2 linked regions of the Drosophila melanogaster genome follow. The protein of the gene in region 2 interacts with the protein of the main gene of each other region in a pairwise test. Each region holds a gene or a part of one and is shown on either strand. Other genes may lie near its edges.

Region 1 (5,222 bases), on a different chromosome or scaffold from region 2:
AAGTTTACAAAACAAAAAAAAAAAATATATGGTTAATTTGGGCAGTATGTAGTTATGGACACTGTTTCGTGTTCAGTTGCAGGCCTCTTCGTTGAAGATCCCTACTTCCTGTAGACGTAGCCACCGTTGGAGGCGTACTGGGTGCCCACATCCACGGAGGGTGCAGAGTAGCTCACCGATGGGGCGGAGTAGCTGACGGCAGGAGCGGAGTACGACTGCTGGACAGCAGGGGCGGAGTAGCTGACCGATGGAGCGGAGTACGACTGCTGGACAGCAGGGGCGGAGTAGCTGACCGATGGAGCGGAGTACGACTGCTGGACAGCAGGAGCGGAGTAGCTGACCGATGGAGCCGAGTAGCTCACAGAGGGTGCCGAGTAGCTAACAGAGGGGGCGGAGTAGGTCCTCTGGACAGCTGGTGCGGAGTAGGTCCTCTGGACGGCCGGTGCGGAGTAGGTCTGCACAGGAGGCAGGTACTCGTTGCTGGGGGCGACATACGACTGCTGGATGGCTGGAGCGGCGTAGGTCTGCTGCACGGCTGGTGCGGAGTAGCTCACCGAGGGAGCGGCGTACGAGCTCTGGACGGGGGGCAGGTACTCGTTGCTCAGGTGGCTAACATCGGCGGCCACGCAGGCGAACAGGGCGAAGGCAATAAGGAATTTCTGCAAGTAGGACAACACACTTCACACATTACAAACACAGCAAATTTTTTAAGCACCGCAAAAAAAAAAAAAATTTTGTCAAATAATATTGTTAAATCGATGTATCCTTGTTTCAAGCTGAACTTGTAATCCTTCACTGACCATCTTGAGTTGAGGTTTCTGCGTTTTCAAGCGACTGTGCTGGATGAGCTAGAGGCTGCGACTGATGCCGGTCCCTACCAGCCGCCAGTCAATTTATAGCTGCCGGCCGTCTTCGAAGAAAAGCCCCGGTTTTGGAGAGCCCGTTCCAACTGCAGCGGTGGCACACCGGCACTAACGGCAGACGCCGGGCAAGAAGAAGAGCAGGCTTAAGCGGCCAGCGGACCAAGAAGAAGCCGCCGCAAAAGACGTCACCATGAAATCAAGACAAACAAACGGCTGACTGGTGCTGAGGGGCTGAGGGGACATAGCCACATAAGTTGGCAGCTAATTGTGAAAACTGTTAAAAAGTTTAAGTATTTTCAATTAAGAATATGCTTCACTTATAATTGTTTATGTACACCAGACCGTTTGCAATGTTCAATTAAGTAGTAGTGGTAGCACAATGCAAAATAAGTAATAATATAAAAGATTTAGATACTAACATTTGAGCTAATCACCTATTTACAACTTAAAACTGCCGACTTGTTAAATATTTACTTACTTCTTAAAAACTGAGTTTTGAAAAAAAAATGGTAACTTGAAACGTTAACTAGCATAGATCATTGGCAGAGCTTACTTAGTTAGATGGTTTTGGCAATAAAATGGCTAAAATGGCAACACTAATCAGGGCGGAGGTTAAAAAGCATATATAGGGAGGGGGCTGGCTAAACTACCAAACGGAAAATCACATTAAAATTAAATTCAACATAAAAATCGAACGAAATCGCACATGCAAACGGGTTTGGCTCATTTACGATATTATATTTTTTTCCATCCACGCAACGGGTTTGCGGCGGGTGAACTACTTTGGGACACCTTTTTGTGGTCTCTTCAATCTGGCTTATTAGCGTCGGACTCAAGGGGAATGGAGGGAGGGAGGGGGGGGGGGGGGGTTTGTGCCGCACAAAGCCCAAAAAAAAGGGGGAAAAAAACTAAGGGGGTTCCACTAATTAACATTCAATTTAACACATTATACACCGGAGCAACCATTTTTCTTGTTTCAACCGCAGAAATGGGCCGGCGCACAAAAAGAGATCCATTTGGCCTCGTTCGAGACACTCGCCCAGATTGATGGCCCCCACAGAACGTCGTGTTTCGAAAAACGGAGCCCCACTCGCACTTTCTAAAAACCCATAAACACACAAAACCCATCAGTGGAGACCGACAGAAGATGGCCTTGAGAACAGACGCCGGCCGCCAGAGTTACGAGTTCCCCAGCGGTCTTTACATAATAAGTAACAACTTTTACTTGCTGCCACATCTCGAGCGTCTTTCCACTGTCCGTGAACTTGAAATGCAGCACAGCCAGAAATTTACAATTCAATAAATTTTTAGCAAGACCTTTGCAATTTTTGAATTAATATTCAAATCCATCAAACGTATTGATTCTCTTGCAACATTGTAGCATAGAAACATAAAGAGTAATTTTTTAAGATTATCTATGTATCATATTCGCAAGGTGGGTAACCTATTGACGATTTATAGCCCGTTCACATATGATTCGCCTGTGATTCGCCTGTGTCAATAATTAAAATCCATTTTTATATCGATTTCATTTATGATCACGTTGATGAATTATCTTCAAGTGTAAAAAAGGCAGGAAATGTCAAGCATGACGATGCCAAGCAAAATGTGATGGAAATTTCAGAGTTCATTGGTGATAACTTAACTTAACCATGGCCATTCTGAGAACTGCAAACAGTTATCCTTTTCAACAAGAGGTAATTAATGTTGGAAAATAGTAATTAATATTTATATATTAAGTACATTCATATTTCAACTTATAAATAAAATAAAGTTTCGATCTGGAATTGTTAGTATTAATTTTTTAACTTAAAACATACATTTTCCGAAAAAAGAAAATATACACAATAAAAACTATATTTCATAAAAATGATAAAAAAACATGCATAGTTAAAAGTTAATATTTATATGTTTATGTTTAATGCAAAATTGATTACTTGAGGCACGACGTGCGGTCATCTGCACCTAAGAATCGATGTCGACAATATCTACTCTAGATATTTATATATTCGAGTCTAGAGTTCCCATCTGCAAGGACATGACAAAGCTCTGGCAACCCTTTTAGCACGTGTCAAAAACTCAAAAAAAAAAGACGATGACTTTGCAGTCTAAAAGTCACATTTCTGATTTGGCGTGAGGACCTCAGTTGATTCACATCTCCAAGCGAATATTACTTAATATTATATTAATTAATATATTAATTTGTAAAGCACAGCATTTTCAAGGTGAGCATTTCAAGAGAATTCTTTTCCACGCACTTTACCCATACAAGTTAATAGGTTTTCCTAACGAAACAATGGATTTCAAGAAGCTGAAGAAAATGGAGGAGGTGGTGCGCATCGGCGGCAAAGGATCTATGCGCCGCAAGCATAAGAGATTCCCATCCTCGGCTGCGGCCGAGAAGCGCGTGCAAGCCACATTGGCCATGTTGCCGTTGAAGAATATCGACGAAATCGAGGAGGTGACCATCGAGTTCACCAATTCCAGTAAGGTTGTGTTAACCATGCCCAGGGTTCAGAGCACCGCTGGCAATTCTTTCTTCGTGGTTAGTGGCGATTTCGTGCGCAAGTCGTCAACAGCTGGCCCATCGAAAGTGGCCAAGGCAGCCAATGCGCCCAAGGCACCCATGCCACCTAAGCCACCCAAGCCGGAAGCTTTTTCCGACAAAAAGCCAGAATCAGAGGAGTCCATTAAGGTGGCCAAGAAGCCCAAGAAGCCGCGCAATCGTGTTCGTCCTCGCAACAAGAAGGTCCAAATGATGCTCTCCAAAAACAAAGAGGACGCAGCCATGGCTGGCTGGGATTCGGAGCCGAAGCTTAGCAATGGTAAACCAATTTTGATCTCCTCTGAAGATGGCAGCGATCCGGATAATGAGAAGGTGCCATCGGATGAGTCTGATGTGGATCGGACCATAGTCTGCGACAAAGATTCGCTGGGAAGCTTCGGCGATGATTCCGACGGCAAGGAGGACGTTGACACTACGGAGTCGATCTACCTGTCCTCCTACTCCAATTACTATTATTTGACGGAGCAGCTCTATCCAAATACTTATCGCGTTCAGGTCTCAGAGGACGAAGATTAGGCATATTCATTTGTTGCTACATTTGTACCAATTTCAAAAATAAATCGTATGAATTGAGAAAGTTGAGACAGAAAAAGGTTCCATATTCTATAGATTTGTACTTTAATCTCTTGGTGTTTATTGAAAGCATTGGTTTTCTCTACACTTATGGAAATTTTAATGATCTATAGTTCCAAAATAAAAAAAAGTTATAAATTTAAGATTATATTAGACTCTGTGGCTCTCAGTTATTTGTCTTAGTAAATATAGCCGCCGTTCGACGCGTACTGGGTCTCCTGGACGGATTTGGAGTAGCTGGCCTGCAAATGGGCAGGAGTAATGGTGTCGGCACCAATGGCCACGGGCACATGGGTATCGGGATTGAACTCCTCGATGCCATTCGATGTGGGTTCCTCGTACAGATGGGCAGGTGTGATCGTGTTCGCTCCAATGACGACTGGGGTTTGTCCCTGGACATAGGCGGCGATGGGTTGGGCGCTCTGGTAGGAACTGCTAGACGATCCGGCCACGATTGTCTTGGCCTGGCTATTAACGTAGCTCGTCTGGGAAACGGCGGATTGATAGGAACTGGAATCTGCCCCAGAAATAGCAGAGGCAGCGGTTGAGGCTACAACCGACTTTTTGAGTTGAGCTGGAGTGTATTCAGCGGGCTGGTAAGAGCTCGAATCTCCTCCGGGAACAGCCGCTCCCTGCTCTTGCTCTTGCTCCTGAATGTACTTGTAGTGGGCCTCTTGAACGTCCTGGGGAATGAACTTTTCAGGGGTGTAGGTATCAGCACCAATAGCAGCCGGAACTGGGGCATAGGTATCAGCACCAATAGCCGCCGGAACAGAAGCCTTAAGATGAGCTGGAGTGTATTCAGCGGGTTGGTAGGAGCTGGAATCACCACCAGGAACCACCTCAGCGGCCTTCAAGTGCTCGGGAGTGTATTCAGCGGGCTGATAAGAGCTGGAATCTCCTCCGGGAACAGCAGCTCCCTGCTCCTGCTCCTGATTGTACTTGTAGTGGGCCTCTTGAACGTCCTGGGGAATGAACTTCTCAGGGGTGTAGGTATCAGCACCAATAGCAGCCGGAACTGGGGCATAGGTATCAGCACCAATAGCCGCCGGAACAGCAGCCTTAAGATGAGCTGGAGTGTATTCAGCGGGTTGGTAGGAGCTGGAATCGCCACCAGGAACCACTTTGGCATCGACAGTGGCAGAAGAGGTCTGCTTAAGATAAGCAGGAGTGTATTCAGCGGGCTGGTAAGAGCTGGAATCTCCTCCGGGAACAGCAGC
Region 2 (5,488 bases):
TTACAAGTAGTTCATTTCGAGAAAGTGCTAGACCGAATGATGTCATTAGGCATTTAACAACTTTCGCTGTTGTTGCCGCTTTCTCCGGGATTTGGTCAGCAAGGAGTGGAAATTGCCGACGCGGAAAGTACTTCAAAGTACCATTTGGATTGGGCAGTAAATTGCGCAGTACGGCTGCCGACTGTCAACTGATTTGTATTTCGGCAGCATCTTCAATTCCGCTGATTAAAGGGAGCCAACTTAATCAATTTCCGGCGGAGAAAGTTCCACGGAAAGGGAATGGAGCCCCAAGAACTTTCCATTCGAAGCCGACACGCGCGGGCACTTTCTACTCGCACTATATGAGTGTACAGAACGAAGAAGGTGAATGCGTCCCACCTACAAAGTTTCCATTTCCACTTTTCCGGCGAAAAAGCGGGCACGTGCTCAGCCGCACGGACTGTTGAGCGCCCACAATGCAAAACTAAAGCCTTTTTTACGGCTGCTGACGACAGCTGAAAATTAAAAAAAGTTCAGTTAGAGCCGGAGCTAGTCATTAAGTGGCTTTTGGGGCCAGAAAAGGGACGTTGAACGTAGTCGAGCCATTTAATTGAGTCAAATGTCCGCGGAGCAGGACTTGCGTAGCCACGTCACCAGCAGCGACGTCACCTGTCTCACCTGGGAGTACCCCTGAAATCCCCTGAAAGAGCTGAAACGCAATCACGGCGTCGTCAAAAATTCGCCAGCAAAAAATGCAAAGTCGAGTGCCGGGGGACTTCGCCAAATGGCTAAAAACTAAGTGCAGAGTAAACAAGAGTGCAGCGTCAGCGGCACAAAGAAAGAAGCGATTAAGTTTCCGCCACAGAGAAAATGTCCAAGAATGACGGTACCTGAAAGGAAAATTGCCAAAGTCTAGCGCTGATGGAAGAGCAAATACGAGTATAATGAAAATGGTTCGGGTTCGCATATGCGTTCTTCGCCCTTCGGAAAATGCTTTCACTGTGCCAAGATGGAAATGGTGGAAATGTCAATTCATTAGAAAATTGAAATAAGATGGCAATTTCGCTGTACAAAGGGGTTCTTCAGTGGGATTCTTCTGCTGGGACCGAAAACATTTTCAAAAACCAGGAAATGATCGGCATTTAATATAGTACGAGCTACATTGGCACCGGAGATTGTCATTCTTGTAGAACAAGCCATCCACCAGGAGAAGTGAAGTCCGAAAGGATTGTCTGGATTACATGAAAGTATAGTAAATAAAAACAACATGAAAGTTTACGATTTGATTGTAATCATTTAATTACCATTAATTTCTATGGCGAACATGGATGTTATTGAAATTCTCTTTATTTCATGACTTTGAATACAAAGGAGCCACTCAGAGCGACTTAACCCACAGTCAGGGCCATGATGGCATTGACCACATCGTTGTCGTTCTTCAGCAGCGCCTGGATCGCCTTTTTGCGCGAGCACGCGGCCTGCATCTGTACCAGTTCGATGTCCTTCGCATGTAGGCCCATGGCATCCGCGTCCTCGCCATCGTTCTCGTCGTCGTCGTCGTCGTGTGGGGACTCCTCGCCAGGGGCTTTTCCATCCTCGTTACCTTGCCGCCCGGCAGGCGAGGTTCCACGGAATCGCTCGGCCGCCTTGACAGCTGCCTGGGAGGCGACGGACGTGGTGCTAGTGTCCTCCACGCAGATCTCCCCAAAGAAGATGTACGTCGACGAGTGCGCCACTCTGTAGACGTCCGGCTGATCGATGTACAAGAGGATGTTCTTGCCCTTCTTCATGGTCACTCGGGCCACGTTCTCCATGGGCTTCAGGTCCAGCTTCATGAGGATCCGGCGTGCCTTCCGCTCGCCGCGAGACTGCTTTGATACCTCACGTGTTCGCACGGCCACCGTACCGAGTTGACCCTGCTCGTCCGGTTGGGTCTCCTTGGGATCCGCTTCCACGAGATCCGGGGCGTCATCGGAGTCCGTGCTCTGATCATCCTCAACTACGCAGGATTTCGCGGCGGAGGCGCCCTCCTCCTTCTGCGAGTTCGGCAGACTGAACACATTGGGCGGCAGCTGTTTGGCCAGGCTCATCAGCTTCTTGATCTTGTTGCGGTAGGCCGGGTCCATTTGACCCATGATGTGGGGCTTCCCCTTTGCGCCACTAAAGCCTGCCGGAGGTTTATTCTTGACATCCAAGGCGTCTTCCGAACTGGAGATCTCCTTCTGAAGTGCCTTTGCGACGTTTGGTTTTTGCGTTGCCTTGGGCTTCCCTTTTTTTCCACTGCCACTTGGTGAGGGAGAGGCTTCTTCGGCAGGCTTTTCTTTGGCCACCACGTTGTCGGCAGCGGTCTTCGATTTCTCGGCAGCGGTCTTCAATTTCTCGGCAGCGGTCGCCATCTGGGCAGCCTTCTTCATTTTCTGCTTCTTACCCATCTTGAGGAATAAACAGCAACTGAGGGATTTGCGATCACAGATTTGCGAGGACAACTTCTCCAAAAAAATTTCCAAATTGGCAGCGCACGTGGTGTGACCTCTTGCGGGAAAGACTTGACAGGAAATATCAGAGGTGAAACTTCCAGTGGCTTGACAGCTGGTGTTGCTCTCTTCGATAAGTGCTGTTGCGAAATTTGGTATACTTATCGAAAAGTTTTTTCATAATGAAAACTGGAAATTTTTTATGCTAATGGCACCTAAATAGCGAAATAAACAATATCAAGTGTTGCTTTCGGAAAGATTATAAGTTTTTAAAATGGCCACTCGGCCATTCGAACATGCAGAGCACGCCTAAGTCTATCGATATCGATAGGTCCCAGTGCAATCGTGAACTGATTATAGGCGTTAGCAGCGCTGCTCTGAAGAAAGTTGGTATTTTTCAAACGAGAATGTCAGCTGCCTTCGAACTGTGCACTTAATTTCGCGGTTATAAAAGTTTTGCTGCAGCGCCTCGCAAATTCTATCGAAATTGATGATTGCAAATCAATCCACTGCAGTGACGTGCTTGAAAATTTTCACCTGACAAAGCCAGTTTAAAAGTGGTGGAGAAATGAAAAGTTCAGCGGTTATTTGGGTAATATTCGAATATGCAAAGTCGTAAAACTCGGATGCCCGGAAAATGCCAAAGACCTGAATCTGAAGCTGGTTCCTCCGTGTTAATTGCTGTCGTGGTCGCACCGCAGTCTGCCTCCAAAGCGGAGCAGCCCCACAAACACGACGCGGTGGAGCAAGCGCGGTTACACGTGCGGTTTTCCTTGCGGTTTTCCGGCTCCCGAATTTCCCAGATCAGGCGGTTCAGGGCGGGGCTGTGTGATCCTGTTTTGCGTTCTGCGTGTGGCGAAAAAACACTTGCTAAGTGCATTAAAAAAGTGCCACGCCCTATTAGGGCGCTCTTCGTGTTACGGAAATTACATCACAATTCGAGACAACCGTACAATAAGAATATGAGCACGTATGGATCAAATCCCCAATGGAGTTAACATAACATTTAGCATAATTTTCATGAATTCTGACCTTTCCTATTTCCTACATAACAGGTATGTGGTAATCGGGAGCATGTATTGCATTTTTTCTGCAAGCCGCTGCGCTCTGTCTGATGATGCGTTTTTAATTGCTCGGTTCTTTTAATTAAAGTTCGAGCGAAAGAAGGGCGTCCACCACCTGCAATTATTAAACTTTATCGTGGGGTCAACGCCTAATTGAGTTGCACAAATTATTCAGGAGAGGCGAATGAAGCAGCAGGAGGAGGACTAGGAGGATGTGGAGGGCAGGAGACCGAGGATGCATCCGGCTGCCGCCGCAGAGTCTGTCCTGTCACCATAATTAAATTCGAGAGGCCAACTAATCAGATATTCCCTTTGCCCAGCCATGAGTCCTCGCATCTTAACATCTCGGTCGATTCGATTCAATGTTGCTCGGTTAAGTTAAGTTCTGCGCGGACTTGGAACTCGGAGACCCGGAGAGCCGGAGAAGGGTGAAAAGTTTTTGGGCGTCCTGGCACGTTCGTCCCATGATTAATTATCCGCCCCATATGCTGCGGTGTCATCTGGGCCCATCCAACTTATTGGGGCTTAGTCTTAGCCTCGAAGTTTAGTTTCTGCTGCCACGGCCTGTGCATGAAAAATGAACCCAATTCGGAGGCCCACCAGGACGAGGTCTTCACTCTCCTTCAAGGCAACGAGGCCCACAGAAGCCGCTTTCTGGGGGCAAAAATCTGTAACGCATTAATCATGCAAGTTTCGAGAAATGATTGAAATCATATTACCATGTCGTAGACATGTTATAACCAAAGATGTTTCCGTAATTGAGATCTTGGCCAAGGCATTCATATTGTGCCTGCTCGAGAGTCTCCTCTTCCCGCTAATGAATTTCATTGCTGATTGATGCTTATTTGGCTTAATTCTATTGTTGTAAGTGAATCAGCAGTCTTTGCTAGGAAAACTATTTATTAAAGGAGTTTGTTTTAGTGAGTTTATAGTGAGTCTGCAAATTAGTTTCGAATAGCACCAAGTTTTTATACATCCTGATGCCGTAGCAAATTTGTGGACATACTGTTTGCACTCCCAATAAAGTAGAAACCCAATTTGTTTTTAGCGTTGACAAGGTCATTTCACTTGGTACCTTGTTCGCTTGATAATTTGACGTTTATTTTGTCGATGGGCCAATCTGGAATGCCACATCTTTGTGCTGCTGTTGATGAGCTGGAATCCCGTTTGGCAGGCGGTATGGCTGTGCCTTCAGAATGAAGTAAACTCTGCCGTCATCCTCTTTCAAAATATGTCAGCCTTGAGCGAGGCTGACGCGCTTATCGCCAAATGACCGAGACGATATCCAGAACCCAGAACCAACAGCATTTCCAGACCCCAACCACCTGCCCATCACGATTTGGAGTCGCTGGAGCGGCAAGGAAAATCAATTTCCCCTGCCGACTGCCAAGGGCTAAGCGAAGTCTGACATTTATTACCATATAAAGAGCAAGAAATACTCGCTAAGCATTCGGCAGCCGGAGCAGGGATCACTGGAGGCCACACCAAGCCCGCACAAAGAAGGAGCAACTAAAAAACCGGAAACTGCAGCGCGACAAATGTGCCCAACCAGCAAAGATTCCAGCCAGCCCCCAGCCCCCAGCTCCTCCAAGGCTTCCCTTTGTGCGCATTGTGTGAAAATATGAAATATGGAAATGCCGGAAAAGCGAAAAGTTGTCCCTGGCACAATAAAATGCAATTTCCCCGAAGAGGCAGCCGAGGCAGCGCCACCGAATATACATTGCTAATTTCCGGTAACAACAATAAGGAGCACCCGAATCACTTGGGCTGTACTCAGGAGCACCACCCACTTTGCGGAGCAGCAGCAGGTCATTAGTGCAAATTCCTGCATAAATTTGTGTAGGGATTTATGAGCCGATGGGAATGGGTTGGTGAGTGCGACATTTCTCCCCCCTAAAAAAACTAATTGAAAATGGAAGCATTGTTTATCCAAATGAAATCTGGCTTCGGGGGGCTCAAAATAGTTGAATG

What was found.
Region 1: the proteins of gNacalpha (region 2) and betaNACtes1 interact in a two-hybrid assay, tested with the Drosophila melanogaster proteins (one large-scale study listed by BioGRID).

The regions. Positions count from the first base shown.
Region 1 is NC_004354.4:14,170,408-14,175,629, reverse strand, and holds betaNACtes1 (Nascent-associated complex beta-subunit-like, testis 1), read left to right. Parts: upstream 1-3,005; 5' UTR 3,006-3,088; intron 3,089-3,142; 5' UTR 3,143-3,159; coding exon 3,160-3,945; 3' UTR 3,946-4,143; downstream 4,144-5,222. Other genes in the region: CG1368 (uncharacterized protein), read right to left, coding at 102-659, 801-803; CG12480 (uncharacterized protein), read right to left, coding at 4,182-5,222.
Region 2 is NT_033779.5:1,034,302-1,039,789, reverse strand, and holds gNacalpha (germinal nascent polypeptide-associated complex alpha subunit), read right to left. Parts: upstream 2,545-5,488; 5' UTR 2,412-2,544; coding exon 1,368-2,411; 3' UTR 1,284-1,367; exon of another isoform or gene 1,257-1,283; intron 1,212-1,256; 3' UTR 1,105-1,211; downstream 1-1,104.